3 linked regions of the Arabidopsis thaliana genome follow. The protein of the gene in region 2 interacts with the protein of the main gene of each other region in a biochemical or structural test. Each region holds a gene or a part of one and is shown on either strand. Other genes may lie near its edges. The genes, in order: CSI1, TUA5 and MAP65-2.

Region 1 (10,955 bases), on a different chromosome or scaffold from region 2:
TCAACTAGTAAGGGAATCGCCTTTCGAGAAGTAGCCCCAACTCTAATATCTTCAACTCGGAAAAGCCTTTCAAGGGCAACCTGGTCTGGGTACCGCACTAAAGTGAACTCCTGCGACAGCTGCAGAAGTTCTTTTATGTCATCATCAGAACAACCAAGCAATGATATAAACCCAGCCGCAGCACCGGAGTTTGCAACAGATAGAAGAGTTCCGCGACTACCGTTACAGACAAGACTAGCTAGAGCTTGTGCTGCAAAATATCTGTCTGCGTATTCCTCTGACTTCACAAGATTTGAGAGCACTGGAACAGCCTTCATTGTTGCATGTGCGCGAGTGATTTCTCTGTCTTGGAAAAGTATGGCCAGCAATAAAGCACAAACCCAAATGTTGGCATCTTCTCCATTATCAGCCTGAAATGTAAAAAAGGTATTAAAGCAACATAAACGACAACCTAGCATTCCAAAATGAGTTAGAATGTTAAACGCTATCACAGATTCATAATATGTTTTTTTTTATCCATACTTCTGAAACTTTGATAAGTTGTGATCTCAAAGATTTTAATCTATAAGAGAGTTGAATACCTGGAGAAAACGGTTGCCTATTCTGTCAGTAATCAACTCAATGCCTTCTGACTCCAATATTACTGCTCTGCTCTTTTCATCATGACAAGAAAGAACCGAGAGCAACCAGATGGCTAAATTGTCTCCAGAAATAACTGTTGCCCCCGTGGAACCCTCCCTATTTTCTGTTGCCTCTTCTTCTTCATCTTCTTCCTTTTCTTTGGGATGAATGCATATGCAGATTTTATCTTTCTCATCCTTTTCCTGATCTTGCACAGAATCTAGGATCCCCACAAGTGCTTGAACGAATTTGGCACACAATTGTGTCTCATTCAGATTTTCTATCATCTTCTGGTCGTCAACTTTGGCAGCACAGATAATAATAGCAGCTCCACCAATTTTTATTTTCGGGTCCCTGGTATTTATCACCCTTTTAGCTATAGATGACACGCAATCTCTGGCATTGTTGACCATGTTTCCCAAAACAATAGGCTGATCTCGGCAAAGTCTTGACAAAACTTCAATAGCTTTGTCCTGTAGTGAAGGATTAGCAACACTCACTATAGATGAGACTATTGGGGCCATACTGTTGGGAGATTCAGCCAAAACAGCCCAAGCTGGTTTTACATTTCCATTAGCTCCTGACCTTGAGAATATAGCAAGCGCATCTAGGGCCTCTGATATTGCATCAGATCTTCCATCGGCAGATTCTAGAAGAGACACTAAGGTAAGCACTGTTCCAGCTCGGTTCACAGAATCTGTCAATGCAGAATCAATTCGGCGACGACTAAGGAGGCGGGCAATTGCCGCAGCAGCAAGTGTCTTCCCAGACACTGTACCTTCACGTAAGATTCTAGTGGCGGACAAGATGATATCTTCGACAATGACCTTCTCTGACACTTCACTGTCCAATATAAGATTAGCCAAAGCGCACATTCCTTGCTCAGCAACTTCTAGAACAGAAGAGTTGGCTAGAGATACTATGGTAGGCAATGCTTCTCTGGCAGAAATGGCCACATCGCGATTCTCCTTAATTGAAAGTAAAATTGCAGCCAGGCAGCGGCAAGACTCAACAAGGATCCTCTCCGAATCCACATTTAACAGTTTTATGGCCGACAAGAGAGTTTTGAGGGCTAGAGCACTCTCACGCAAATCCTTTCTGCTCTGGAAGATAGCTGCAAGAGCTGATGCTGAATTTGCTTGAGTTTCTTCTTTACCAGAGCTCATCAACTTGATCATTGTCTCAATAGCATCATTGGAAGCACTGCCTTCACGTAGCATGTCATTGAATGGGACCACAGAAAGCATACTCTTCAATGCATCCAAAACGTAAATTTTAGACTCAGGTAGATCACTGGTCAGCAAAGCAGTAAGCTGACTGATAGTTGCAGTATCTGATTTATGAATCAAATGATTCAATGTCTTGGCGGCAATTTCTTTACCATTTGGACTACCATTCTTTAGTAGCCATAAGAGAGCAGGGACAGCATCCGCACTTTCAACACAAGCACGTATATCTTCGCTATGATTGCACAAGTTCCTAAGGATAGTTGCAGAGTCTTCCCTGGCTTTGGCCGACCCAGTCTCTAGAATTTGAACAAGTGGAGGTATACCTCCAGCAGCAGTGATGGCCCACTTGCTTTCATCATTTTCGTTAGACAAAAGGCAAAGAAGTGCAACAGCACATTCTTGCTGCTGTTCGGATGAAAGACCCAAAAGAGATATTAGCAATTGGATCCCTTCACGGCCCTGTAGTGCTTGCCACAGGCTACCTTCATGGTTACACAGCATCAGAAGAGCCTTTACAAGCTCATCTTGAACCTCATTCACCGCCATCGTTATTAGACCAACAAGCAAACGTTTTGCATCCGAGTTGGAAAGTTTGACAGAGAGTATGGAATTCCCATACAAACTTGCAAGTGCTTCAATTGTACGTTCTTGCACCAAGAATGGTAGACGAGGCTTAAACTGCTTCAGCAGAGTCTGTTCAACGACCAATGGATCTGATGCTCTTGTAGTTTCTGCCTTGCCATCATATATCATCAATGCTGAAGCTAAAGCCCCAAGGGTGTCGGCAGTCTGAGCAGGCGAAGAGCAAGATTCAAGGCTCTGACCAAGGCTTGATATGACATATGACAAACCACCGGAAATATTAGCAAGGGCACACATTGCATTTTCTTGTAATGCTTGCGCATATTCACCTTGCATGAATTCTTTAGATGGAGCTATTGTTGCATTTATTAAAACAGGAATACCATTAGAATTAGCGATTTCCCGCTTTGCTTCCTTAGATTGAGCAGAAAGCGACTTGAGAGCAGCAGCAGCCTCTGCCCTCACTGGGGCTTCATTACCCGATCCTAATAATTTGAGAAGCTGTTTTGTAATGTCTGCAGTCAATACACTGGAACAAACAGAGGCGTCTTCCATCATCATACACGCAAGAAGGAAGCAGACATTAGATAGTGTACTTGACTGCCCGCTTGTGAGCAGCTTCACAAGTACATCCACTCCCCCAGCTCGAATTGTCTCAGACCAAAATCCCTCTGTGGTACTAGAAAGGTTCTTAAGTGCACCAGTTAACAAACCATCAACCTCTCCTTTTTTATTTCCACTGCGCAATTGGTCCCACAGAACCGGTACAACTCCCTCAGTGGAAAATATTTTTGATCCAACATGGTCTTTAACCCCACCTTCAGAAACAGCATAGATTGTCTTTGCTGCAGCGATCTGCCCTTCGACTGAACTGGACTTGAGAAGACCAAGCAATGGAGGAATGCATCCCCCAAGTAACACCTTAACTCTAAGTTCGTTCTCCTTGCAGAGTGAACCCAAGACGGTTGCAGCTTGTATCTTCACTCCAACTGATCCCGATCGGAGAAGAGAGACAAGTACTGGCACAGCTTGGGAGTGTGATCCGACAGCACTGAATGCATTCTCACGCATTTCTATAAGGTCCAGTAACTGCTTCAGACAATATTCTCTTTCTTGTGCAGATGATGAACCTTGGCGCAGCTGCTCAATGCATTGGGCAACACTTGCTAATGTCCCATCTGGATCTTCCATGCTGGTTGTCCGGTCTCTGCAGGGGATGGGGAAAGTTAGATACTAATTCGCTAATAGGTGTGCCTTTCTGCTTAAAATGTCTCATTTGAAAGGATAACATAGGAAACCAATCCAGATAATATTAATTTCCACAGGCATTGTTAAACCAAGATGGTGGTGCAACAAATACAGATAAAACCTCAATTTTATCACGATGATTAGCTCCCATGCAGTACCAAATACATATATGCGTTACCTCAAACTCATCTTTGTGGTTGAATGTGGAGTTGGGGGCTCTGAATCATGCATCTTCATATCCCCATTTCTCTCCTGCAATCAAGACCAAACAACAGAAAATAAGTTAAAAGAGCAACAAGACCTTTTCGCTCCTATGCAATGGAAAAACTATAACCTTTATCATGACACTCTATCAGATATAACTGACTGGTACAAAGCCATTAATTAACAATGGACTTAGCTCAAGTACTTTTTTCAAATCAGATTCAAAATGCAAGGGACATATCAGCTTAATCATCCTGCTAATACACCAGATCTGACTTTGCAACTCAGAAAGATTGCAGTATATCAACTAAACAAGCTTTTCCATAAACCCGTGTGATGAATGTTAATACTGAATCAAGTAATTATTACCGTGTCACTTGGGGCAAGGCCATTTCCATTAGTGGAAGGAAATCTCCATCCAAGAGCACTTGTCATATCTTCACTTCACTTAAAAAATTCTCAAATCAAAAGTAGACCCAGAGACCTTGCCCCCTACCCAGATCTACTCAAATCAGATCGTCAGAACATCAACAACACCCCCTGCATAATATATAAAAAGGATCAATCTTTACAATAGAAAACGATACAGTGAAGTAGGAAAAGCTCAATGCAATTATATTATAATTGAAGACTAATAGTATAAAAATATCACTCTACCTAACTGAATTCTACTACTGCTAAATCTCGATCCGAATCGTTTAACATTCCAGATTCGAACTAAAGCTAAATGAGGAAACTTTTTAACCAATAGGAACTCAAAAAACAGGATTCTTCAGATCTAGATCATAATTGGATCTCTATCAATGAAATCAAACACAAGAGATCCGATAATTCAAAAAGCATGCATTTAGACATTGATAGATCAAATTGAACTCACCTCAATGCAACAAGGAGAAGAAGATGAACAATCTGTTACGTAGAAGAGAAGCGAATAAGACGAGAGAAAGGAGAGAGGAGTGAGAGAGAGGTTTCTTCTTCTTCTTCGTCTGTGATTTTGACTCAACAAAGTATAAAGCGGGGGAGAGAGAGAGGGAAGAGAGAGAGCTGTGTGTGTGCTGGTGAGAGAGAGTGATCAGATTGGAGCCGGCTTTGTCCACCGACAGACAGCGAGTGGATTCACTTAGCGACTCGAGCCGGCTTGAGTCGGTTGTCGAGCCGACAGAACTAAACGACTCTTGTACAGCGAATGGTATACTTAATTGTTTTTTATTACTTTCTTTAATCAAAAATAAATGAGGAAATTGACTTTTAGCTGTGAATTAATTATTTACATCAAACATTTTTTTTGTTAACAAAAATTATATAACTGTTTTTTTCCAGCAATTAGCCAATTAGTAAACATTTTGGTTCATTTGTTCAAGCAAAATTTTACATTTTATAAATTTGATTAACCTTTTTATCCAAAACATCCGTAGAATTGAAACAATATAAGAAAAAATATTATACCACAAAAATTACACACACGAATAAAAATATTGTCTAATTTATTTCTCAGATAATAACTTAATTAGTTAATTGTCTCTAAGTTTAGATTATGTTACCAAATTATCACTCATGGGGTTATCTCGATTTTTTAGTGCAACACAGTCATTACAAATATTTATTTAATATTTTTCAAAAGGATATCAAAAATAAATTGTCTATTTTATTGTGTCATTTAACATGTTGAAGTAAGTTATGTAATAATCAAAAGTTATCTCTTACAAGATCAATCGGATAAACAATCAAGAAAAAATAATAAAATATACTGATGAATTAATAAAAAGAATAATAGTAAGATCTGCAGTAGTTGTTGTTATTGGTCCTATTATGTTGATTTGTTACCAAACTTGATTAATTAGCCCATAACAATGGCGATAGTAAAGGTTTCTATCTACCACCAATTGTCATCCACAACATAATCATCACGAATTCTATATATATGGACAAAAAGTATAATAACTATTTTTACGGCTTCCTTCACATCTAAATTATTTTCCATAATTGTTCAAAAATCGCGACAGCAGTTCTTTTCGTCTGAAAGTGAGAGAAGTCGGGGGAGCAAATTATAAGGATGGTAAAACATATAACGTGGGAGAGAAAAAGCACATGGCCTCATGGCTCATGAGAATCAAAGATTCTAAGTTTTAACTATTCTTTTGTTTTTTCCTCGACGCATGTTTTGTTTCTATCGACAACTATGCCCATAAAAGCATATGATATGCACAATTATGATAATCATATGAATGCACATGTGCTCTTTCTTCCTAGCCAATTATGATCATTGACGATCATCACTATACCATAAAAATGACTGGACAAAGTCATATTCTTTGATGCTTCTTGTCACAACTTGATACATCCACTTTCCCGAACCGTATAAAACCCAAGAAGCAAAATTCTCATATAGATCTCATAGATTCGTTCGAAATATGTTAAATTTGCATCGGATATAGAAGGTGAAGGCTGCGTCTCCGGCCGGTGAACCGTCGTTTTACTGATCTTGTTTCTATTATGTTCCGATTTGGACCACTTTTTTGTAACCCGTGAAATTCTTAGCCCATCTGTCAATAGACCGTTTGGAAATGAATATCTAAAAAAAAAAAAAAAGATGTGAAGTCCATATTTAATCAGTGCCCGGCATTGGAACGTAGTAAGTTTGAGGAAGCATCAACTTGTAGCCGTGAAATTAATATTATGGTTTTTAGTGGTTTTAATTTAGCGTGTCATAAGTGAGAGTAAAAGAACTCTTTGATATTTCATTTTCATACATATATAATTTACTTCAATATAATGGTTTGATGAGGGTCTTATCATACATTTGATTTTTTCTTTTATTTTAGTGTTACATTTTAACTTAATTCTTACGTACATCTTTTCTTAATAGACTATTTTCTCATTATTATTTTTGGTTTCTCTCTCTCATTTTTTACATTTTGATTTTGTTTGCAAAGATTTGAAAGTCATCTTTGCCAAAAAAAAAAAAAACCAAAAAAAAAAGATTTGAAAGTCATCATCTAGTCCTCTTGATGAGTAGATTGTCATTGTTTTTTTTGCTAAATTGTAAATATTTCATAGATAATGAAAACAGTTTAGGTTGTAAACATAGAATCTGAGACCTATAGATATGGTAATGGATCCAAGACAAAAAGAAATAAAAACATATAGACACTCCTCCTCTCTCTCTTTTCTACAAATCATACAAGTTTCAATCATACGCAATACAATTTAGGTCAGACACAATTATATATAAAATCAACAGTCACTGAGAAAGAAAACAGAACTAAACAAATTATAAGTTTTAATTAATATATAAAATTTTCGATTTATTTTAAGCTTGTAGGCTTGTAGCATTCAACTAATTTATAGGCTGAATAGACCACTCGTGTTTTATGCAAGTCTCACAAATTTGGTAAACGTTTTGGCGAAATTCAAAAATTAAAAACTTCAAAATAGATTGTCAATAGAGATATATCTTACATGTTGATTGAAATCTACGAAAATATACAAAGTTTTTTTTAATACAATCGACATTGAAAAAAAAAAAAAAAGAACACAAATTACGTAACTTGATACAAAAGACGACCACTTGTATATCACATCGCATCACATCACACATAGTGACATAGAGACACATAAAGTCAACTGAAAATAGAAGAAAATATCTCACACTTCATAATTCACTCTTGTCTTTCTACTTTTTCTTAAGTCGACAACGGAGAAGACTTGACCGGAAATACTCTATTACCGGCGGAAGAAACGCCACCTCCTTCTTCACCGTCAACACCGCCATCTCTTCTCTTCTCCAACTTCTTTTTCATCATCTTCTCCTTCTGCTTCTTCTGCATGACTTGAAGTTGTGCATAGTTTGCTCCCATCGAAGACATTTTGTGATTATAGTTCGATTATATGTTAGTTAATTTGATTATTATAATGAACAAAGAGAATGTGTGGTTAAAGGAATAATGAAGTGAAGGATGAGTTTGGTTATAATGATGAAGAGAAGTTGTCGTAATTTATAGAGAAAGGACTTATGCTTTATGGCCGTTGGATATGATTCCATTCTCATCATTATGCTTCTCCATGCTCATTCTCTTTATCCCTTGAATTTTTTTATTTTCCTTAACTTTAATCGATTCATTGTCTGACTTTGACCCATTTCGCCGAATTTAAAATAGTTAAAAAACTATTGCACTGATATTTTTATGGACAATATCAGCTAGGGGTGGGCGCAAGGCGAGTACTTGCTAATTTAGGGATACTTGTTACTCGACTTGCCTTGTACGAATAATCAAAATAACTATTTGTATTTGGCTTGTTAAAAACGAGTACTTGTAATTACAAGTACTTGCTAAAATATGATTGCCTTGTCATGTTACTTGCTACTTGCGAGTTATTTATACATACTTGTGAGTTATTATTTGCTCATTGCGAGTTATTTACAAATATTTACGAATTATTATTTGCTACTTGCGAGTTGCTTACAAGTTATTTGCAAGTATTTGAGAGTTACTTGCAAGTAACACTTTCGAATTACTTAAAATTACTTATTACTTTATTTATCATATTTTTTACATGTTTAAAATTTACTTTATTTCTAATGTAGTTTTTAAATGTGTAACGCTAAAACAATACAATATATGTATATAAAATAGTAAAATAATAACGAGTAACAAGTCAAACGAGTCGAGTATTAATTTTTTTTCATTACTTGTTACTTAACTTGTACTTGCAAGTATCTAAATTATACTACTTGTTACTTGCCTTATTAATAACGAGTACTTGTTTTTTCAAAGCGAGTACGAGCCAAGTAGCGAGTATAGGACGAGTAACGAGTACTTGTGCCCAGCCCTAATATCAGCGTTTTAGCTAGTGTATATGTAAACTTTTACATCCTAAAAAATTCGAATACCAGAAAAACAATCCTACTAACCTTGAAACTCGCAAGCAATTGAAAAACATATGTATCATTTTAAGATAGTTCTTTAGTTTCTTTTTCTCTTTATTTTTTGTTCTTCAGTTTCTTCTTGTGTATAAGTATAACATTTGATGCTTCCATGATAATTAACGACATTTAACACCCACGTTCTACGTGTTAAAAAGGGCATCAGTCTGACACATGAATTTCATCAACATTTTGTTTTACCTTTTTTTTGTTGGTTATATTTATACAGTGATAACAACATTTATTATTATTTTCTTACGTTAAGAGCACAAGAAAAAAAATATTATGCATTTAAACATTTATAATATTTTTTTAAAAAAAACAAAGAAAATTAAGAAGACAAGAGATATTTGTTTCTAGTTTCCTTTCCTTATTTGGTGTAGTTTTCTGGAGATATTTTTATCTTTCGCCGGCTTAGTTTTCGAAAGAGTTTCGACTCTAATCAGTTTAATGTTTCAAAACCGCATTCTATTTTGTATTCCATGTTTGTGTAATATAATGAATCATTCGGACGCAAATAAAAAGTAATAACACGGTAGCGACAATAATCAATTTTTTAAAAGGACATTAATATTAAAGGGTATTAATCAATATTATTAAGGTACACACCAAAAATATAAATATTATTAAGGTACAAGTTGGTTTACTTTTTGTTTTTTAAAACAAGAATGCATGTTTAGTCGCTTATGATAATGTATTTATTCGTGAGTTAGACAAATATTTCATCACGTTTAAAAATTAAATTGTTAGCGTAACTAATTATAAATAGCTTTGTTTTTTTGTTAAAGAATTATTCAGTATTTTTAGTTCATATATAGTGAAACAAGTGGGTAATAACTAAAATACATATAAATAATAATCGAACTAGAAAGGAGGCATTATCTACATATGGTGGCCTTCGCTTTAAGGTCGGCTCGTAAGGCCTTATGCAACTATATTATATAACTGTTAACATTTGCTCTGTTTTTTTTAGCTACTATGCTAATTAAAGTTGTCATCATTTCTGTATAGTTTAAAATTTACCGACCATTGAGTGTCCGAGTCCGACCAACGCGATATCTATGACTATATACTATGTGATTCGTACGTATGGGACGAACGATAGTGTATATATTATGATTTGGAATCATATTACCAGTTTCTTTTTTTTTGGGTAATGAACCATATTACTAGTTGTTTATGTATATCGAATCAGTCTCCAATATACTTGTGTTTTTATATATTTACATCTAACTCCAATCAAGAAAATTAAAGAGGAGTTTGGAACATTAGCTTAAGTGTTATGCACTGCTAGTATGAATCGTATATATTATAGAAAAAGTGTTATGCACTGCTAGATTCGGAAGGTCTTACCACAAGATCGTAGGATTGTGTTGGTTCAAGGCGCAGAGAACACTCACAATAAAGTTGACACTGCATTGTTAGTGGAACAAACTAAAGATCTACTGATTAAAAGGACTAAAATGATTGGTTCATACGTTGCGGATCAGACTATGCATACCAATATTTTGGCAAGCAAAGCGTCGAAGAATAGGATGAAGCATACATTAGTAAAAACTTCAATATTGTTACTATTGGTATGAAGCTTTTAGCTAATGGAACAATGAAACAAAAAAGGACCAACCATGAATTTATGACTACCAGTCTACCAATCCTACAATTTTAATATCCATTTCCAAAATCAACAGTTGTGGTAGACTAGTAGTCATATGTCTAATGCCTTTTACGAGTACAAACATAGCTGGCAATTAACTTGGGTTTCGAATGGGTAAGCTATATATACTATAAAAAGTAAAAATGCATTGTTAATTCAATTAAAGGACAAACGACATAAACAAAAGGTTTAAGCTATATACCACATTTGTTGAAAAAACAAGTAAAATATATATACCACATTTCATAAATGTTAACTATAAAAAATTAGGGAAGGGGAAGGATAAGTCAGATAATAACCACTTATATTGGCCACGAATCTCCCACCATATATGATACAATATTATATATTTTGACTTTTTTTTTAATTAGTTATATTACAAAATAGAAATATATATATACAATTGTTTTAGTCTATCAACTAATGTTACAAAATTTCACAAAATATATATAAAGAAATCGTGGTAGGTAAAGCAAGTTTATGTTATATGTGT
Region 2 (10,457 bases):
CGGGGGCGGAGGAGGAGAAAGAAGAACCGGGGGCGGAGGAGGAGAAAGAAGAACCGGTGGTGGAGGAGGAGAAAGATTAACCGGGGGTGGAGGAGGAGAAAGATTAACCGGGGGCGGAGGAGGAGAAAGAAGAACCGGGGGCGGAGGAGGAGAAAGATTAACCGGGGGTGGAGGAGGAGATAGATTAACCGGGGGTGGAGGAGGAGAAAGATTAACCGGTGGTGGAGGAGGAGATAGATTAACCGGGGGTGGAGGAGAAGATATATTAACCGGGGGTGGAGGAGGAGATAGATCAACCAGGGGTGCTGGTTCTGGAGCAGAAGTCAATAGCTTTCTGTTGTTGTTTCCATTAGCAACTGTGATTAAGGTTGCCAAGAGAAATAGTAGGATCAGGGAAAACCTTCGGGACACCATCTTTCAGGTCAGTATTCTCTACTCATTGTTGTTAATATTCTTCAGACTTATAGATAGATATTTCTTGTAAGCTCCCTTTAGAGGTTTCCCACTAACCTTGTAAGATTTTGTCAAGATCACTGTTTATTAAGTATAAATTGGTCGGCTTAGCATTAATCTCTTCTTTTCTTATCAAGGCCTCCCTCTAAACATTAAGCTAAAGTCTTAAAAAGGTATAGTTTGTTGAGTAAAATATTTAATTTTATTATTTCATTGTCGTATAAGCACGATAAATATGTCAGCCAGCAAGCCTAAGCATTTTAATAAAATGTTTTTAAGTTTGTGCTTGGAAGAATTGGTGCGCAGGCCAAGAGATGGTAACTACAAAATATTTGGACCCACTCATTACATTTCTCATTTATATCATATGTCTTTGTTCTCACTCACTACAAAAAGGTCGCTTCAGGTTTCTGTCTCAAAGATATAGGCCCATGACTTGGTTACAGTTTAAAAGTTAAATCCATGTTAAAAGCAATTCTAAGCGTCTCTCAAGTTTTGTTTGGGTAGCTTCAATCACCCCTGTCTTCAAACTGGATAAACTAAACGACAATTTCACTCTGAATTGCCCTTGATCTTGCTAAGTTTTCAATATCGATACCTTTATTCCTTAACCAAACCAGTACTCACTATTCACTAACACACCATACACGAGAGAGACTAGCACATCACTAGGTCAGCTCTCAATACACCATACGGGAGAGACTATCACATCACTAGCTCTTCTCTTAAGTCTGTCATGAGAGACTCATACTCATATCAGATTCAACAACAATCAACATAAACCTCTCTCAAAATTCAGAGCCAGTATTTATACTAGAACAGAGTTTTCTAAAGATATTTTTAGATCCTAAAAATATCTTATTCTTCAAGTAAGCTTCCTTCTCACGTGCCTCCTCACTTGCACGTGTGTTCTTTTGCTTTGTCTCTCATTCTTATTCTTCTTGATACACCAATCGTATCAGATCTGCCAACCTCATTAAGAATGACTCCGGTGATCGTATGCTTGACTTGAGCTGGCCTCTCACCAATGGTAAGGCCTAATTGCCCAAGACACCTAGGTCATCAAAAACCTTTCGCTTATGAGGTTGTGATAAATGTTGGATTGTTGAAGGACTTTGATAAATAAGAAACAGAGAGACTTGTCGACGAGAGAGACAGAAACAGAGTTATGAAATTAAAACTGAAGTTTCTTATTATTGAAAATCTGACCCGACCAAACAAAGACAACGTGTTCTTATAATATTCAACAGACCCGACCAAACAACACTAAGAACAAGATTTGTAACTCTCCCCTTTTAACTCTTAACATAACTACCCTTAGGACAAGACCCAACTCCTAATGTATAAACTTAACAAACATACACATAATTAAATAAAACAAGCGACCAAACTCAATTAACCTCTAACAAAAAATATGACCCCTTTTGAAAGAAAACTTAGAGAGAGATATGTGTAATAGCTTCTCTTTAGTATCCCCGAAATTTCTAAATTCTCTCGAACACAAAGAATTTTCACAATGTAGACGCCCATATTTCCACTTTTGGCTAGGTATCGTATCAACGGATGAACCACCCTTTCCCGGTTAAAGACTCTGTGGCATCTGCTTCGAAAATGGTGTTCTCTCTTCGATATTTGATGGATGTAATGACTTTGTTCTAAATTAACCACTACTTGTATTTGTTAAAGGATAAATGCCATGTAACCTTAAACATTGTATAAATCTTACGTACTTAAGAGTTAGATCTATCCATGTAATCTAGATGATGGTTACATTCGATCTAGTTTTGTTTATAGAAAAACTGTTTTGATGCAAGTCAAAAGTGGGTGTATATATATGTAATGATCATCTTTTATAAAACCTGTAAAAGAAGTCTCCAATCAATAAACGAAAGATGGCCCATTTGATGTTTAGTCAGAAATTTTGAATATACAAACTGCAAAAGTAATCAATACAATAAAAAGAAGAAGGTTAAAAAAAAACAGAAGAAGCTTTAGTCATCGCTACATAACAATCCATCAGTGAGTAATATATGGCAGAAAATAAATGTCTTCTCCTGAGCCACTTGCATGCTTCTTAGAGGTTAAGGAACGACCACAATGATTTTCCGGGGGGAGGTGGTGGATACACTCTTCCATATTTAGAGGGTGGTGGCGGCGGTGAATATCTCTTGTAGGCAGCAGCATGCGATTGAGGAGGAGGAGGAGGAGGAGGAGGAGGAGGAGAAATTGGAGGTGAATAGACCGGTGGCGGAGGAGGAGAATATTTGTAAGATGTCAATAGCTTTCTGTTGTCGTTTCCATTAGCAACTGTGATTAAGATTGCCAATAGAAAAACTAGGGTCAAGGAAAACCTTTGCGACACCATTATTTCAGGTCAGTATTGTCTACTTATTGTTGTTAATATTCTCTTTTTCTTTGCTAAAGTTGTTGTTAATATTCTTAAGACATATATAGATTGATATTTTTCTTGTAAGCTCTAACTTAGAGGTTTCCCACTAACCTTGTAAGATCTTGTCAAGATCATTGTTTTTAAAGTATAAATTGGTCGGCTTAGCATTTAAAAAATCTCTTCTTCTCATTATTGAGGCCTCCCTCTAAACATTAAGCATACGTAAGTCTTAAAAAATATAGTTTGTTGGGTAAAATATTCGCAGTTCCAAGCTGAGAAATAAACACATCATATTTGTCTTCTGTACAAATCTTTTTAATACTAAGAAAATCAGAAAATGGTGCGCACTCAATTAATACATGGAACCCACATAAAACCTCTGAATGATTCTCAAGAGTACCCAAAAGCCCATAATTATAAAATTCATATCCGTAATCCGTATCATCACTAAAATAACAAGAACAAGTTTTCAGAAAGACGAGACAACCACTAAGATTTGACCCAAACATACGAGCACAAAATGGAAAAATTTATGTATCCCTATATATATGCCTATAACTATGTCTATGTACAGATTCATACAAAAAAAATATGGAACATCAAACAACTCCAAAGCAGAAAACTAAGGAGAAGAGCAAAGGCAACAAGACTAAGTTTGTGGGAGTTAGGCAAAGGCCTTCAGGAAAATGGGTGGCAGAGATCAAAGACACTACACAAAAGATACGGATGTGGCTCGGAACCTTTGAAACCGCAGAAGAAGCCGCTCGAGCCTACGATGAAGCTGCATGTCTCTTACGTGGCTCCAATACTCGCACCAATTTCGCAAACCATTTTCCTAACAACTCACAACTATCTTTGAAGATCAGAAATCTTCTTCACCAGAAGCAGAGCATGAAGCAGCAGCAACAACAACAACACAAACCAGTTTCTTCTTTAACGGATTGCAACATCAACTACATCTCGACTGCTACTAGTCTCACCACAACCACCACCACCACCACTACCACGGCCATACCGCTCAATAATGTGTACCGACCAGATTCATCGGTCATTGGGCAACCAGAAACCGAGGGTCTCCAGCTTCCTTATTCGTGGCCCCTTGTCTCTGGATTCAACCATCAGATTCCATTGGCTCAGGCAGGGGGAGAAACACATGGACATCTCAACGATCACTACTCAACCGATCAACATTTGGGTCTTGCAGAAATTGAAAGACAGATATCTGCGTCCCTATATGCAATGAATGGAGCTAACAGTTACTATGACAACATGAATGCAGAATATGCAATTTTCGATCCTACCGATCCCATTTGGGATCTCCCTTCACTCTCCCAACTCTTCTGCCCTACGTGATTTCCAATTTACTTTTCCTGATCAATTCATGTAATGTTTGGATCAATGATCCATGATTGTAAAGTAGAACACATCTCTACAATGTTCCAATAGACAAGATTGTACCTAAAGAAAATGGACAATGTAAGAAGATAATGAAGGTTTCGTACAACAAAAGCTTGATAATGAACTCGGGATCTTCCCCAATGGTCGCTCTACCAATGAAAATGTATCTAACCGAGATGAAACACGAAGGAGGATCGAATATTGTACAGGATTAAAACAAACATGTAATCAACAAGAATCATTAATGAAAACAGATAAACGAAAAAACTTTTTGGTAGCACATTGCTTGAGAAAAGGTGTCAATAGTCTTCACCTTCATCTTCTTCATCGTCTCCACCTTCAGCACCAACTTCTTCGTAGTCTTTCTCCAGTGCGGCCAAGTCTTCACGTGCCTCAGAGAATTCACCTTCCTCCATTCCTTCACCAACGTACCAGTGCACGAATGCCCTCTTCGCATACATGAGATCAAACTTGTGGTCGATCCGTGAGAACACCTCTGCAACTGCTGTGTTGTTACTGATCATGCATACAGCTCTCTGAACCTTAGCGAGGTCACCACCTGGAACAACTGTTGGAGGTTGGTAGTTGATTCCACATTTGAACCCAGTTGGGCACCTGCAAAACAAAACCCATGCCAAAGGAGTTACTATATAATAACAACATAAAGGTAGAAAAATTAGCAGCTATATCCATTTCTAGATCATACCAGTCAACAAACTGAACAGTCCTCTTTGTCTTGATGGTGCCAACGGCAGCATTAACATCTTTGGGAACAACATCTCCTCGGTACATCAAACAACATGCCATGTACTTTCCGTGCCTTGGGTCACACTTTGCCATCATGCTCGCTGGCTCAAACACGGCATTGGTGATCTCAGGGACTGATAGCTGCTCGTGGTAAGCCTTGGCGGCTGAGATGACTGGTGCATAAGATGACAGCATGAAATGGATACGGGGATATGGGACAAGATTGGTCTGGAACTCAGTGATATCCACGTTGATGGCACCATCAAACCTCAAAGATGTTGTCAAGGATGAAATGATCTGTGATATCAACCTGTTCAAGTTTGTGTAGGTTGGCCTCTCGATATCTAGGGATCTGCGGCAAATGTCATAGATGGCTTCGTTATCCAAGAGGACAGCTACATCGGTATGTTCAAGAAGGGAATGCGTTGAAAGCACACTGTTGTAAGGCTCTACAACAGCAGTAGAAACCTGACATCACAGAGGAATATGCATTAAAACCAAGTTTCATCCAAATTAGACCACTATAGAAACATGTCATGTAAGAGGTTCTACTTCAGTGTCTAGCAAAAGAAAGAGTACCTGAGGAGAAGGGTATATGGTAAAACCAAGCTTAGACTTCTTTCCGTAATCTACAGACAAACGCTCTAGCAACAGAGAACCCAATCCAGAACCAGTTCCACCACCAACAGCATTGAACACCAAAAACCCTTGTAAGCCAGTACAGTTGTCGGCAAGCTTCCTCACACGGTCAAGACATAGATCCACAATTTCCTTTCCAACTGCAATTACAAGAAGCATTCTAAGGACCATTTCAAAAACCCTAACAAGTTAGAACAAGCAGAAAGTGGATTCTCACCAGTGTAATGTCCTCTAGCGAAGTTGTTAGCAGCATCTTCTTTCCCAGAAATGAGCTGCTCTGGATGGAAAAGTTGACGGTAAGTACCAGTACGAACTTCGTCGATAACGGTAGGCTCGAGATCAACGAAGACAGCCCTAGGAACATGCTTCCCAGCTCCAGTCTCGCTAAAGAAAGTATTGAACGCATCGTGTGCAACACCAACTGTAGTATCACTGCAACAGAGCAAAACATTCGTCTCTCAAAAACCTTCAGATCCACAGAAACAGAGTATAAAAGAGAGAATTAGGGTTTATACCTCGGCATCATTCCGTCGGGCTGGATTCCATGTTCGAGACAGTAAAGCTCCCAGCAGGAATTTCCGACTTGGATCCCGGCTTGTCCGATATGAATGCTAATAATTTCCCTCATCTTCTCTCAGCAGAAACCCTAATTCGAGCGATGCTCTGCGACAGACGGAGAAGGAGGAAGACGGAGATCGAGGAAATGAAGGCGGTGAGAGTGAGATCTTCTTTTTTTGGTTCAACTTCGTTGGCAAATTAGGTTTATATTTTGTGAAGGGAAAATGATTAATTTATTGAATTGGATTTGATAATTTGTTGGGGTCCGCCATTTTGTGACAGCCTGCCTTGGGTCCCACGGCTTCGCTTTTGTTCGAAAATGAGTTCATTTTACAATATTGCCCACACGATCCAGTTCATTCTACAGTTTCTCAATTTTGGCTGGCATAAATATCTTCGGCGGATACATGTTACTTATTGTTATGGACCGGATTGGTTTACGTCAATTTAGGATATAGGATCGAATCGTGGATTGGTTTATCGATCCGGTTCAATGTTTTTTTCATTATTGTTTGTTCAAACAGATTCTACAATTTTTTTTTTTTTGAACACGTTTTAACAGATTCAGTTGTGTTGATCTACATAATGACAAAAGTCACATAAAACTATTGGTCATGATCATACTATAGTTGTTTTTATATCATCAATTTTATTTAGTGATATGCTTTATGAATTAATAATTATGGATGGACATTTAAAACACCAAAAAAAAACATAATGGACAACTCTTTGGTATTTAATGGTTTTTAATCAAAAAATTGATTAGGTGGAAACAAAAAAAAAGTGGGTGCACAAATGAAAATATACAGGGTCATTCGATTATATATACTAGTAAAAATAATATGAACCTCTCAATAATATATGTATAAGATTATGTGAAGTTATTGGGTCGGCAGTCGGCACCTAACGGGAGTGAGATCAAATGGATGTAATCATGTAAACTTATGTGCAGAAAAGAAAATAATGTAAACCTATGAATGAGTAGATTATTAGTATTGTTTAGTGTTTCTTGGAGATGTAAGGGTTCTCACATCCACATTCTACTTCATCTTCCTCAAATCCTCTGCAATTGTTTTGTTCCCTTTCTTAAAACGATTTGGGAATGTTCTTAGGATATTGAATGTAAAGTAAAAAGATTTGTCCCTAGTCTGAAATCTATTCATTTTCATGATATTGTGTGAATGAGAACCACCACAATACATAACTGAAGTTTTAATAAATTACATGCAAAAAATTTAAATAACTATTTATGTAATAGTTATATATCTCTCTATTCATTATTTGTGTTCATAAACAAACCAAGTCATGTGGAAATATGAAATAATTGTCTTGATGACATATTTAATCAAACAATTCCTTAACCCAACCCATTTCCAATCATATCAACTAGCATTTTTGTAAACTCGCAAACTTTGTGACCGTTATGTACTCTCTTCGGATTCACGGTTTCACTCGACCGTTGTCTACTTTACTGTATACTCTCTTTGGGAATTTTTTAGTCTTAAGGTTAACTATCAATTGCTTTAGGATCATGCATTTTTTTGTCTTTTTGTTAGTTTGAATGGATGAAAATTCCCTTAAAACATTATATTTATAGGATTGAATTGCTACTTAAGCTATCTTCCTAACCGCATGCATGAATTCAATGGATTTGATAATCGTTTATCTTGAAATCTTGATCCATTATATCTAAACAATTGCTTAACCCACTTTGACATCTTTAATCTGAAACCGCTTAGGAAAAATATGCTATATAGAATTAATATAGCTGATTGTCTCAATTCATCTAACTTAACTTAGCAATTAGAGAATTAATCTAGCTGACTATCTCAATTCATCCAATACAATCTTAGAATGATCAATTTATATGAGTTTATCTTTCGTATCATTACAATCATTTTGGTTATCAAACCATCATTTTGGTCGTACCTTTATCCACTCATTGAAAAATATAAAAATATTTGGCTCCGATTAGTAATACGCGTAATTGCAAAATGACATTTTTTTAATACGAGTATATAAGAATGTTACCAATTAAGAAAATTAACATAATATTTATTAAAACGCAAAAATACAGAATTTTTGTTTTCTTCATAGAAAATAAAAATAAAAATTCATTATGTAAATACATATTATATGTATATTTAATTTTAGACACATATATTTGTTTGTTTTATTATGCAATTTTTCATTCTACAAATTTATAGTTTTGCAAATTTTTATTCTCCTACTTATGTCATTAAAAGGATTATACGGGGTTATCTCAGAACTTGTGATTTCAAATCTTGAAAACACGTTTTACGTAGTCAATATTTATGTAAGTTAATTAATAAATAAATGCACTAAGAGAATCAAAATCTTATAACAAAGACAACCTTACATGACGTTTCTTTTCTGTTTGGCGCTTACAAAAACATCCTACTATAACCAATAGTTATTTAAACCACTAAACCCTAATTTAACCTATAATATCGATTTAGGTCGGTTAAGCTATTATTTACCTCACTCATACTAACGAAATACCTAAATTCCGGTAAGTTATTTAAACCGGATAAAAATCGACACCTTCCAGATCTAGATCCAGATCGAATCTCACGTATTTTGTCTATGCCCAGTCCCAAAGGCAGGCTGTCACAACTTGGCGGACCCCAACCAATTATCAAATCTCATTCAATAAATAATCAATTTCCCACAAAAATCATGGAAATTAGGAAAAAAAGAAGATCTCGCTCACCGCTCTCATTTCCTCAATTCTCCGTCCGTCGAAGAAGCGAATCGCTCGAAATTAGGGTTTCTACTGAGAGAAGATGCGAGAAATCATAAGCATTCACATCGGACAAGCTGGGATCCAGGTCGGAAATTCGTGTTGGGAGCTTTACTGTCTCGAACATGGAATCCAGCCGGACGGAATGATGCCGAGGTATAAACCCTAATTCACTCTTTGTACTCTGTTTCTGTGGATCGGAAGATTTTTGAGATACGAGTCTTTTGCGTTGTTGCAGTGATACTACAGTTGGTGTTGCACACGATGCGTTCAATACTTTCTTTAGCGAGACTGGTGCTGGGAAGCATGTCCCTAGGGCTGTCTTCGTTGATCTCGAGCCTACCGTTATCGACGAAGTTCGTACTGGTACTTACCGTCAACTTTTCCATCCAGAGCAGCTCATTTCTGGGAAAGAAGATGCTGCTAACAACTTCGCTAGAGGACATTACACTGGTGAGAATCCACTTTCTGCTTGTTCTAACTTGTTAGGGTTTTTGAAATGGTCCTTAGAATGCTTCTTGTAATTGCAGTTGGGAAGGAAATTGTGGATCTATGTCTTGACCGTGTGAGGAAACTTGCCGACAACTGTACTGGCTTACAAGGGTTTTTGGTGTTCAATGCTGTTGGTGGTGGAACTGGTTCTGGATTGGGTTCTCTGTTGCTAGAGCGTTTGTCTGTAGATTATGGAAAGAAGTCTAAGCTTGGTTTTACCATATACCCTTCTCCTCAGGTACTCTTTCTTTTGCTAGACACTGAAGTAGAAACTCTTACATGACATGTTTCTATAGTGGTCTAATTTGGATGAAACTTGGTTTTAATGCATATTCCTCTGTGATGTCAGGTTTCTACTGCTGTTGTAGAACCTTACAACAGTGTTCTCTCAACGCATTCCCTTCTTGAACATACGGATGTAGCTGTCCTCTTGGATAACGAAGCCATCTATGACATTTGCCGCAGATCCCTAGATATCGAGAGGCCAACCTACACAAACTTGAACAGGTTGATATCACAGATCATTTCATCCTTGACAACATCTTTGAGGTTTGATGGTGCCATCAACGTGGATATCACTGAGTTCCAGACCAATCTTGTCCCATATCCCCGTATCCATTTCATGCTGTCATCTTATGCACCAGTCATCTCAGCCGCCAAGGCTTACCACGAGCAGCTATCAGTCCCTGAGATCACCAATGCCGTTTTTGAGCCAGCTAGCATGATGGCAAAGTGTGACCCGAGACACGGAAAGTACATGGCCTGTTGTTTGATGTACCGAGGAGATGTTGTTCCCAAAGATGTTAATGCTGCTGTTGGCACCATCAAGACAAAGAGGACTGTTCAGTTTGTTGACTGGTATGATCTAGAAATGGATAAAGCTGCTACTGTTTCTACCTTCATGTTGTTATTATATAATAACTCCTTTGGCATGGGTTTTGTTTTGCAGGTGCCCAACTGGGTTCAAATGTGGAATCAACTACCAACCTCCAACAGTTGTTCCAGGTGGTGACCTCG
Region 3 (11,958 bases), on a different chromosome or scaffold from region 2:
TGAACATCATTCTATATGCATGTTTTAAAAATTTTGAGGGTCGGCAATTCCATATATTTAAAAGGGTTTCTTAAATTCAACCATATATCAAATATTTTTTGGCATGCAATATATTGAAATCAATTAGGGATAAAAAAATGCAAGTAGCGAGAGAAAGGTTTTACAAGGTTTAGGAAGTCTATCATCCAAGTCAACACGAGCACGGCGATGGTAAGTGACCGGCGCATAGGGAGCCACCGTAGCCATTGCGTCTCTCTCCATCATCTCCGTCTTTGACCCCATCTCTCTCTCACTTTGTCTCTAGACTGAGTGCAAATGTATGTGTTTGTCTTAGAGTAAAGAGTATAATGAGGTAATAATAATAAGAATCGATTTGATTGATGTGCGTGGCGGACATGCACGCGCCGACGAAAGCAGCGATTGACATCTCTCTTTCCTTGTCTTTGACGCACATCTCTTCTCTCTTCCTCTGTCTTACACTTGACATGACTCTAGAGACACGTTTTCTTCCATGTTTCATCACTCTTTCTATTCTTGTCTGCTAAATTCAGTAATTCGGGCCTCTATGGGCTTTTATATAGGCCCAACCTCGAGTACTAACACCACCCGCTACATGAGTGCGTGTCCCACACTCGCTCTTTACGTGAAGACTGAAGAGGAACTCCATTGCCTATGTATGTATGAATGTACACGAAGTTGCAAGGAAAATTTTATGATAATAAGAATAATTCACACAAATTTTCTTTGTAAACGAAGTCTGAGCCTGAAAAGTTAATAAACAAACCCACAAATGTTGAGAACACACACACGCACTAACATCAACCCCAAGTGTCATAGATTAGATATAAAATTCAGTGACCGGCACCGGCCGATGGATTTGTTAGCAACTCAAGTGACTTCTTGAGATGTTCTACAGCAGTCGAGACTTCATCAAAAGCCAAAGCTCCCACAGCGAATCTAGCAGCCTTGAGTGCCTCTGCAACCTTCTCAGGCCCTGGCTGGTAGCTGCTATCGTAATGGTACTTCTGAGCTGAACTCGGTGCAGGATCTAGCACGGGAGCAATATTGATACGCCCGTTTGATGAGTAAGGTGGAGGAGGAGGAGCAGAGGAGAAGCTTGTGGAAGAAGGAGCAGGTGCAGAGTGCGGAGAAGAATAGTAAGGTTCTGGGTTTTGGTAGTGAGAAGGGTAGTGGGGAGAAGTGGATGGGAGGCTGCTCTCACTAAAGCTAGGATAAGATTGGAAATTAGGGAGAGAATTTGGAGAAGGCTCATGAGATGAGTAGTTTTGCGGTGGCGGCATGTGTTTTGGCGGGTCTTGGTGGTATGGTTGATGACTGTAAGGATGCGGGTAAGGGGAGTCTGATGGTCCTGTGGGAGGGGGAAGATGATCGTTGGAAGGGTAAGAAGACGGTGGTGGAGGTGGGACATCTGCGGGATAATCGTTGGTCGGATTGTCATAAAACCTGGGAGGTAGAGGGTGTTGTGGCACTTCAGGGAATTGATGGTGGCTGGAGTCATCATTCGAGTCATGGGGTGGATCAAGCTCTGTTCTATGATGACTTGTTGTGTTGGTATCACTTGCACTGTGATCCTGTAGATAATTAACATGCACAAACAATGAATCGATTAAGTTGATGCAGACGTTTTATCATAGTGTTTTGACAATTGAGAAAACAAAAACCTAAAAGTACACAGGTGGGTGTGAATGTGTGTGTCTCTAGCTAGATGATTTTGATCAGCGCTATGCGAATTCTATAAACATTTACGCTCCTAAACACTTTTCGATATTATTGGACAGAATACACGCTAAGCCAATATCAAGATATTTCCAATCCATAAATATTCAAGAAGAGAAACTTACATAGGAGCCACTAGGACCGCTTGATGGGATGGATAAATCAGTATCATCATCCACAGGATCACCTGGAGTGGGCTTCCTTCCTTCTTTAATGGCTTTCCTTATGTCAGCAGCCTTCCAAGCAGCATACTTGTGTTTCTGCTCTATCTGTTAATGGGAGCCATTACATATATACACATATCAATCTCCCAACACAGCTGCCTCTTAAGGTGATGTTAAGTGAATAAAAAAAGAAGTAGGAACTTACATCAGGAGGTACGGGACCAAACTGGCTCAGAATTTCAAAGAAGATGCTCGCAGCATAAAAAGTTTTGGCAGTGCCCCTGTCACAAGCACAACAAAGTTAATTTGGATAATCCATCGCAACTCGGAAGCCTATGTAATTGAGTCAAATGAATGCAGGTGTTAGCACTTATAAAATAAGGATACAGACAGTAATCGAACTAATATCAGTATCCAACCATGCATAGAAACACATCAATGCTGGAGATACAGGTATTTCGCAAAAGCAGAACAGGTAGAAGACAACAGGTCGAGATAAGCCTTGGATGCATCCAACTAATTACTTAACCCGCTATCTTAAACGATGGTAGAGGAAGGTATCACCTAAAAACATGTCTGCCGGACATGCATACTCATTGTAAATGTATGTGTACTTGCACGCTATTTCCAGTATTGGCAAACACAATAATACTAGACAGACAATGAATCTATAGAATCATGCTAATTCGACTCATTGAGCTAGTGTTGACGGTGACCCTAAAATTATTAGAAACTTGAGGGCAAAAAAAATGCCATTCTATATATAATCAAACATAAGAGCAAAAAAAATTCTTACAAGTCTGCTCTTCCTGCACGATCCTGCTTGTCTGCCTTAGCAAAGACACTAAGTGCAAACCCCTCCACATGCATATTGTCATCTGGGGACAGAGTCAATGATTTTTTATCCTGGAGTTACACAAAAAAGAAATCGCCATAAGAAACTGGAACTAATCAAGAAATTGCCTCATGAACTCTGTCAATCACATGAACAAACCTAAGCTAAATTTAGATATAAGCCTCCTTACCAAACACAAACATAAATAAAAAAACTCCAGCTTTGTAACAAGTAACAACATATAATAATCAAAGTCAAACACATCATGAGAATTACTAAGAACCGGTCCTTTCAAATCTAAACAAGTAAAAAATCAAACAAGCTGAAATAAATCAGAAAAACTCACAATTTAAAACTTCAAAGGTAATACCTTTTCGAGTTGATTAATGAGAGACATGAGAATCGAATTGGTGGTCTTAGTTCTCTCGCTCTGCGGAATCTTCAATCCTCGTTCCATTGCATATAGCCGACCTAATCAATCACAAAATTCCATGAATACACACAATCGCAGGAGGCGATCATCTAGGTTAGATATAGATAAGAAAACGAAACTCACAGTAATAAGCAACAAGTGGTTCATGCTTCTGCAGCTCATCGGCACGTTGCAGGTAAGGCAGAAGAGCCCTGGCTGGTTCGTTTGGGTTCGACATAGATTCTCTCTTCTCTCGAGCTCCGTAGCTTTTTCTCCGATTGATTTGTTAAGACAAAACAGCTCAAGAAATTTTCCTGTATTTAACGCGCTTCTGATTGCAAACTAGAAACGACGTCGCAGAAAGGACCTCTAAAATCCCAAACCTTCTTGGAAACTTTTTAAACTTTTAAATCATGCCCAAAAGATCTTTCAGTATATTACAATTTTGCCCAAATATTATTTCGTAATTCCAATTAGAACCTTGACTTTCATTCACTAAACCGGTCACTTCACATTAGTCATGCTAACAAGTACCAAACAAATTTGAGTGAATGAATACAGAAACAGAAACATCTAAGTAACATTCTACTCTCATTGTCTTTGTTTCTAAGTGTTTGTTTCTTAAACAGCACTATTAGCAACTAACAAAAGTGTAAGTAAGCATTATAACTCTCTTTCTTTTGATATTGTCACGGTGAAGCCATCACTGGGTCAGCACGAGAGACTGGAGATGCAGCATCATCTTTTGTGTTGGCTACAATGTTCGAAGGTGAAGCTATCTTGTTCAGACTGTCTCTCTTGGACTTGCTTCCGTTCTGGTTTGAGTTCATAGACAAACGCCTCATAGGAGTTTCGTTGAGCCCTCCTCCATTGACTCGTGTTCCCACCGGTTTCTTGGCACTAACGGGTCTTGCAGGGCTTGGTTTAGACCCAAAGGCGGATTCTTGATCTGTGTGTGGCTGTTCTTGCTGCTTCTTCTGTTCCTGTTAATGAAAAGGCAAGATTATTTTAAAAGAAGTTAGTTTCAACAATCGGTTTAACACAGGATGAAACAACTTACTTTCAGCCTCCGCTTCTCATCTTCTCGTTCTTGCCTAAGCATAGTGTATTCATCTAGCATGGCGAGTAAAGGAACTCCATCGTACTCAAAGGACATACTGTTCTCCTCTTCCCATGCCCGGGTTTTAGCAATCAACGTGTCAACCATAGCTTGCACAAACAAAGTATGATATATTCTTCAGTCTCAGTTTAATTCTATGTGTAGTAATAACTAAGAGAGACTTTTGGAAGTTCTTACCAGTAATCTTGCTGACCAGAATCCGAGCTTTCTCAGCTCTCTTGAGATTCAAATGCGCACCTCGGCTTGCACTATACCTGTTCTGATCCTGTTTTTCCAGAACAAAAACCCAAAAGAATCATCAATTGAACTCTATGCTTAATAAGTAATGTGTTTATTAACATAGCCAATGTTAGCATACTCGATTGTAATCTTCGAGCCAGCTCTCTTCCTCACAAGCTGACATCCATTTCTCTACACGGTCTAAAATTTCTTTTCTACTAAAGGCTTCCTCCTTGGCCTTTGCGATCTGGCTATCCATGTCAGCCAGTAACTCAGTAGGTTCAGTATTCCCAGCATCAATCAACGACATGATCCTCTCACGAACAACCTCTGGTTTTATTTCTATGTGAGCACGAGCATATATCTCCTCAAGCTCTGATTGCTTTTTGAATGCAATTTCCTTCATTCTGCTAGATTTCAGTTGATCAAGCCTATCCACTTCCACCTCAGCCTTCAAGAGTTCACAGAAGATTTTTAAAAGCAGTACTTATCATACACATTGATTGATACATTACAAATTTACGATACCTGTTCGATAAGATCAAGTGCGAGAGCACCAGAGGCAGTCACTTCATGAACTGAAGCTGAAATGTTAGAGGTAACATGGTCAAAAAGCTCCCTTTCCTCATCAGAAGTATCCATCAGATTCCATAGATCAGTTAGCTGAGTAGCTAGTTCTTGAAGCTGCATAAAACCAAGATACATTAATGAAATCCACAAACAAGAATGGTGCAGAGAAAAGTTACAAACTTTCAGCGCAATTAATCAGAAAGGATTTCAACATATGTGCAGCCTAAACTGACCAAGCTCATGTCAGAGATCACAAAGACCATGATTTTGACTAACCTTCTTAAGTCTTTGCATTTTATCTTCTTTAAGAGTCAAGACAGTCTTAGCCAACCTTGCAAGTGTTTCATTGCTAATGCTCTTGGTTTGAACACCATTTGCCTCATCTAAGCTCGGATGAACTTCGGTGACAGTGCTTAAGAAATCTAAACGAAGGACGGCACATAGATCATGCACCGTGCTCACAAACTCGAGCACCTTCTGTAACCTATCACTCTGCTCAAACACAAAGCAGTTTTAGTTCTGGTTTGAACATAGGCCACACATAACCATATCCCAACTAATATTTTACCTTCTCTTTCTGGAGCTCTTGGAGTTTCCTCTGGAAGTCATCTAATCTCTTTAGAGACAAGTCAGTCTCATCAACCACATGAGGTCCATTGTTCAATCCGCCAGCGATCTCCTCACATATCTTCTGAATCTGTGATTGTACATCAGAAAATGCCCGGACCCTTTCCTCTTTCTGTTGCCAAAGTTGTTCAAGCGCAGGTGCTATTGCAGAAAGTTGTTCTTTGATCGTTCCTGAAGTCTTATCAGGCTGCAATGGAAACAAAGACATTGAATCACACTACACTGTAACCATCTCATCTCTTTACCACTTGTAAGACGTGAGATTACTTACAATGTCGATATAGCTTTTTTCCCCGAGAGCAGTTGTGAGATTGGAAAGTTCAACAGTGGCATCTGACAAAGTCTGAAGAAGCTCTGCACGAGATTTTGCGGCTAGCTCAACTTTCTTTTTGTAAACATTCAGACACTCTTCCTCAATCTGTAGAAGCAGTTTGTCTCGTTCTTCATCACTCTCCCCAACCTCATCCCAGATTTCCTGTAACAAGTTTGTACATTGAGTTTGTGGAACCATATATTAAAAGGATAAGTGTGTATGTTGCGAAATCTACCTGCAACTTCTGTAGTAAGGTGCCACAAGTGATTTCACCAAGAAGAGGATTTTCTGCTTCTGTCACTGCCATTCTTGTGAAGTCAAAAGGTTTCCTACAAAAGTAGAAACAACGAACATATTTAGTGAAGATCCAAACTAACTATACACTAAAAGAAACCAAAGTTGCAATCTTTTTTAGAAAACCAAATTGAATCAGAAACAACATTTTGAACTTGGGAACAAAAACACATCAAAGAACTTAGTGAAGCTAAGAATGTGAAACTAAGCTCAAGAAAAGCTCGAAAGGAACTTCAAAGAAATCAAACAGCATTGGTGATAAAACCAAAGCCAAAGCAAGAAATCAACATTGAAGAAGTAAAGAGGCAATGAGCTGAAATGAAACTAATCGAATCCAACAAGTAGAAGATGGCTTTCTTACCTTAATCGATATTGAATCCAAATGGTTTATCTTCCTCTCTTTTAGATCTGAAGCGACGAATAGTCACTGTGAGAGTAAGAGAGAGAGAGAGCATAGGAAACAGAGAAATCTCCAACTTTGGTTATGGAGGTTGGGAAATGGGAAAAGTGGGACCCATTTTACGGAACTCAATAATTAATGAGGAAAAAACAACAGCAAAAAGGTGAGAGACCCTGTCTTTTCGCGTTATTTACTGATTTGACCACTGATCTCACAGACCTCGTTGACTCCTCATGCTCATGTCTGAATAGTTAAAAGGCTTTCCTTAATGGGCTTAAATATCTGACCCAGCCCAAACAGATCAAGACAACACGTGTCACTCATTCCGGGTTTAAACATGAAGCAGCGACATGAATAGTTTATTGGTTCTCTCTTCCGATGATTTGATGAAACCTCACCGCTAAGTGCTCATCCACCACCTTCCTCCTCCTCCTTCTTCCCTCACCTTTTGAGTTTCTTTCTTCACGTTTCTTTTCATTAATTAGGGTTTCGCATTTTCAATCACCATCATCCCACCACGTTTTCGTTAATGTAAGTTCATTCTCTTTTTTCTACTTGTCATGATCCCATTTTGTTGCAATGTTCACTTATGAAATTTATCCTTTGTATGTGAATCATCACGTTTTGCTTTGATGAATCATTTAGATTTCTAGGCTTACACATTCAAATCTAAATCCTCTATTATATGCTTGTTACACAAGTAATCTCTCATCAGATATCAATGTGTGTGTTTCATTAAGACGTGTATAAGCTCGAGTTATGGTTGACATTTTGAAATTATAGATCAACCCCAAATTCATTTCCTCGGATGTATAAAGAAACCCAGATCATCATGATTAACTGAATTTCAAGAACTCAATCCAGGAACTGAGAGCATTTCCTAGGGATCTCAATGGCAATGGAGAAAGATCTCAGTCCAAATTCTCCACGGATTAGAAAGCTAAGGGATACTAGTTACCCTACTACACCAACGTCTCGAATGAATACTAATAACCAGAGAGATAACCATTATCCCAACATTCCTAATTCACCAAGGGATTACAATTATACTCCTAGCTCTCCAACAGCTCGCATTCGACACCGCAGGCGATCAAGCGAGGTATCTATACAATGTCATACTCTCTTTTCCGGTTGAATCCAAAATTTGATTGTCTTTTTCAATATTGATCAGAATTTAGCTGAGGTGAACAGAAGCAATGTAAGCAGAGTAAGCAATTTGTTACTTGGTGATAAGAACAAGTACAGATCAATGTGGATAAGGACATGCTCATCTCTCTGGATGCTCGGTGGAGTTGTGTTTATAATCTACATGGGTCATCTCTACATTTGGGCTATGGTTGTGGTTATACAGATATTCATGGCCAAAGAGCTCTTCTTTCTTCGCAGAAGAGCTCATGAAGAACGTCGCTTACCCGGTTTCTGGCTCTTGAATTGGCACTTCTTCTTCACGGCTATGTTGTTTGTCTATGGACGCATCATTCAACAGCAGCTAGTCAACACGGTTTCTTCAGATAGATTCATATACAAGCTTGTGAGTGGTCTTATCAAGTACCAGATGGTTATTTGCTACTTCTTGTACATCGCAGGTTTGTCTGTTTCTTTTTTCTTCACAAAAACAATACTCTCTTTCTTGATTTATTAACAGCTTAAGTTGGATTCAGGTCTCATATGGTTTATCCTTACATTGAAGAATAAGATGTATAAGTATCAGTTTGGGCAATACGCTTGGACACATATGATCCTTATCGTTGTCTTTACTCAATCTTCTTTCACCGTCGCCAATATTTTTGAAGGGATCTTCTGGTACAATGGACTCTTATATATATCCACTGAAGCATAATAGTTTTCCCGAGTGCTAATTTCTTTTAAATATGCAGGTTTCTTCTACCAGCAGCACTGATTGCTATGAACGATGTAGCAGCTTACTTCTTCGGTTTCTATTTCGGGAAAACTCCGCTCATCAAGTTGTCTCCAAAGAAAACATGGGAAGGTTTCATCGGAGCATCAGTTGCAACTATAATCTCTGCATTTATTGTAATAACCTTCTTCTATCATTTATTCATTCGTTCGTAACTCTTTCTTTTGGTCTCAAGACTGATAGATTATTATCTGCTTCGTACAACAGTTTGCTAATGTCTTAGGCCAGTTCCAATGGCTTACATGTCCAAGGAAGGTAACAAAAAGTGATATCTCCATCACAATATTTTGTCTCGGCCTTTACTTCATCCTTGTGTTGCATATCTTTTGCAGGATTTATCAACTGGTTGGCTTCATTGTGATCCAGGCCCTCTCTTCAGGCCAGAGTATTACCCATTTCCCTCTTGGATTACTCCATTTGTAAGCAATTAACTGTCCTCTCGTGAAAACCAGCCGATGATGTTGTCTTGTTTTGAAACTGAGCTCCGTTGTGAACTTTGCTTAACAGTCTCCATGGAAAGGGATCTCGACCCTGCCTGTCCAATGGCATGCTTTTTCTCTCGGTCTATTCGCATCCATTATGGCGCCTTTTGGTGGCTTCTTCGCAAGCGGTTTCAAAAGAGCTTTCAAGATCAAGGTTAACACATTTTTCAAACATTAAAAGGTTTTGTATCTACAGATCCAAGAACAAATATTTACTAGTTTATGTCGCTTTGACAGGATTTCGGAGACAGCATACCAGGACATGGAGGATTTACTGACAGAATGGATTGCCAAGTAAGAGTCACTAACGTCGAAAAGTGCAATATGATCTTTGCATCGTTTTAAACGAATCTTGTTGCCTAAATGCAGATGGTTATGGCGGTTTTCGCATACATCTACATCCAATCTTTCATTGTTAATCGGGACTACAGTGTCGAGATGATCCTAGACCAGGTAAGAATCATCATATAAGCCAAGAATACGGAGGCATTGTAAATAATTGATTGTATTATACCTGCAGATATCGAGGAGCCTGGGACACGAGGAGCAGAAAATGCTTTATGAAAAGCTCGGAGACATTCTTCAACATAAGTTGCAAGGGAGGTTTTAAATAGTGAGTGCAAGTTTTGTGACTCTGTTTTCAGCTTCTTTCTCTATGGTTAGTTTCTGGTTGTATCAGACCATGTAAAACCTTGATTTGTATCTGATTTAACTAATCAAACAGAGACTTGGTAATAGTGTGCGAGTAGAAGAGATGTAAAATGATATTTTCCTCGTTCAATTATAGCATGGAGATAGAGAAAACAGACACAGAAGCAGGATTTCCCCTGCAAATGCCATGTCCAGCAACTTATGGGAGATCTTGTTCATCTAATGAATAACCAAACCACAAAAGAAAACTATGACTCGAAGACTCGAGAAGATGTTAATGGAAACATAGAACCGTAACAAAATTTATGAAAACCAGCTGACTTCTTCTTAAGCATCAGACTCTTTCTTTTCTTCTTGGTTCTCTCCTCCCTGGGTAACACCAACCTCAGCTGGTCTTATAACTCGGTCATACAGCGTGTATCCAGACTGCACATATTGACACCCATCATTACTAATTGGTATTTAAGACTATACAATATGAAATAAAGAGACAAAGAATTGAGCAAGCTTTATATATTTACCTTCAAGACATGAGCAACTGTGCCTTCTGGCTTAGAAGCATCAGGGACTTGGAACACTGCGTTATGTCTGTTTGGATCAAATGGCTCGTTTATAGGATCATACTTCTCCATACCAAATTTCTTAAATACCTGCAGCGGCACACATGTTTAACCGGTCTCATCTGCATTGCTTACTTAAGGTCTTATAATTACATTTCTCGATATTTACCTCAGCAAGCTGTTTCTCAGTCATCTCCACTCCTTCTAAAAGGGTCTTTAATAGTGGAGCTGCTCCAGCAGAATCTTCTGAGGTGTCAAGCTTTGAGAAGCTTTCTTTGACAACCGAAGAAGCTCTTCCAAGATTATCCGCCACATCCAATAGGCTCTTTGCAAAATTCTGCATACATATATAGTGAATATATATATTTCAGAAAACTATTATATGAAACAAAAGCTGCAAACCAAGTTCTTAAAGACTAACCTGTACGGCATACTTTTTGGTGTTTTCAGCATCACGTCTTGTTCTGTCCATGACATTCTCCATCTCAGCATAAGTGCGAAGAACTTTGTCTTTCAACTGCTTAATCTCTTCTTCCTTCTCAGACAGTAGCTCTTCCTTCTCAGCTACGAGCTTCACCAAATCATCGGCTGACAATTCATCATCATCACTCTCAGAATCTGATTCAGAAGATGAAGATGCAGCTCCTTTAGCACCTTTCCGCTTTCTTTTTGCAGAATCTGTCACAGAATCTTTAGATTCAGAGTCAAGACCTGGTTGGTTTGCCTCAGCTGTAGGTTTCTCTTCACTTGTCTTTGAGGCCTCAGTGTGGGTCTTCTTCTCATCTGATTCAGGCGAGGTAGAGGAAGAAAAATTGAACCTTTGCAGTGCAAACGAATCCATCATAGACATCTGAGCTGGAACAAGCTGCCCCCAAAAAAAAAAGTAAAATGGGTTAAACTCAGTGAAATGATACAGAGCAAAAACCTATAGAGAATCTAAACCATTCTTCTATTGTTTATTCATATATCTGAAGATTCAAACATAAGAGATCAAGGAAACAGTATCAGAAGATAGCAATCATTTCTAGAAACTCAAATGAGGGAAAGCCTTAAACCCTAACAAAACCCTGAATTGCAATTTCGGCATGAATAGTGATTAATTTGAGTGAAAATCGAACCTTATGCGAGAAATCGTGAGCTAGGGAGTGAAACCGGCTCGAGAAAACAGGAGTCTGATTCCTCGCCGGAAGAGTGACGGCGGATAGAGATGAGCGTATGCCCGCGTTGCGGGTTACTCGCGACAAAATTCTCAAAACCAACATCTGGAGATCCACCACAGATGAACAAACAGAGATCAAGAAGATAAGAGAATCGAATCGAATCGAAATGTAATTGTTCTGAGGAAATTGTTAATTTGCAGAGGCACACAGAGTGCTTGGTGGATGGATAGTAGAATTCACAATTCTCTCTTTCGGGGTTTTTAGTAATTTACGTAAATAGCCTTACCGCTGCACGAGCGGGCTGAGGCTAAAATGATCGCTTTGATTCGGCGAGCCTGTGAGGGTATTATTGTCATTATAGCAAATGGGAGATTTTGAAAGCTAATTTGAGAAGCCTCTAGAAAGAACCAAAGGTACTTGTATATCTTTGGGACAGACGAAGTCCATTTATCTCCTGGGCCTGATTGGTACAGTCCTACCAAACAGAACAAGCAGC

What was found.
Region 1: the proteins of TUA5 (region 2) and CSI1 form a complex in vitro, tested with the Arabidopsis thaliana proteins (one study listed by BioGRID).
Region 3: the proteins of TUA5 (region 2) and MAP65-2 form a complex in vitro, tested with the Arabidopsis thaliana proteins (one study listed by BioGRID).

The regions. Positions count from the first base shown.
Region 1 is NC_003071.7:9,400,157-9,411,111, reverse strand, and holds the start of CSI1 (binding protein), read right to left. Parts: upstream 5,054-10,955; 5' UTR 4,762-5,053; intron 4,425-4,761; 5' UTR 4,320-4,424; coding exon 4,254-4,319; intron 3,933-4,253; coding exon 3,859-3,932; intron 3,640-3,858; coding exon 582-3,639; intron 411-581; coding exon 1-410. Other genes in the region: AT2G22122 (uncharacterized protein), read right to left, coding at 7,568-7,750.
Region 2 is NC_003076.8:6,683,009-6,693,465, reverse strand, and holds TUA5 (tubulin alpha-5), read right to left. Parts: upstream 6,437-10,457; 5' UTR 6,255-6,436; coding exon 6,142-6,254; intron 6,059-6,141; coding exon 5,844-6,058; intron 5,767-5,843; coding exon 5,567-5,766; intron 5,456-5,566; coding exon 4,947-5,455; intron 4,856-4,946; coding exon 4,540-4,855; 3' UTR 4,295-4,539; downstream 1-4,294. Other genes in the region: AT5G19810 (Proline-rich extensin-like family protein), read right to left, coding at 1-414; AT5G19800 (hydroxyproline-rich glycoprotein family protein), read right to left, coding at 2,528-2,818; RAP2.11 (uncharacterized protein), read left to right, coding at 3,434-4,195; TUA3 (tubulin alpha-3), read left to right, coding at 8,992-9,104, 9,187-9,401, 9,479-9,678, 9,790-10,298, 10,390-10,457. UniProt on the Arabidopsis thaliana protein: Tubulin is the major constituent of microtubules, a cylinder consisting of laterally associated linear protofilaments composed of alpha- and beta-tubulin heterodimers.
Region 3 is NC_003075.7:13,474,997-13,486,954, forward strand, and holds MAP65-2 (microtubule-associated protein 65-2), read right to left. Parts: upstream 6,875-11,958; 5' UTR 6,653-6,874; intron 6,327-6,652; 5' UTR 6,305-6,326; coding exon 6,233-6,304; intron 6,160-6,232; coding exon 5,956-6,159; intron 5,872-5,955; coding exon 5,626-5,871; intron 5,550-5,625; coding exon 5,334-5,549; intron 5,172-5,333; coding exon 5,016-5,171; intron 4,939-5,015; coding exon 4,627-4,938; intron 4,534-4,626; coding exon 4,446-4,533; intron 4,358-4,445; coding exon 4,209-4,357; intron 4,132-4,208; coding exon 3,838-4,131; 3' UTR 3,596-3,837; downstream 1-3,595. Other genes in the region: ATS1 (peroxygenase 1), read right to left, coding at 165-282; EXT-like (hydroxyproline-rich glycoprotein family protein), read right to left, coding at 852-1,592, 1,863-2,006, 2,107-2,182, 2,698-2,807, 3,107-3,207, 3,293-3,386; AT4G26770 (Phosphatidate cytidylyltransferase family protein), read left to right, coding at 7,584-7,790, 7,863-8,277, 8,353-8,494, 8,569-8,725, 8,817-8,864, 8,942-9,028, 9,117-9,245, 9,329-9,385 and 2 more; AR192 (Co-chaperone GrpE family protein), read right to left, coding at 10,070-10,168, 10,264-10,392, 10,472-10,639, 10,724-11,167, 11,421-11,564. UniProt on the Arabidopsis thaliana protein: Microtubule-associated protein that stabilize microtubules (MT). Involved in the regulation of MT organization and dynamics. Confers MT resistance to the drug propyzamide and cold conditions.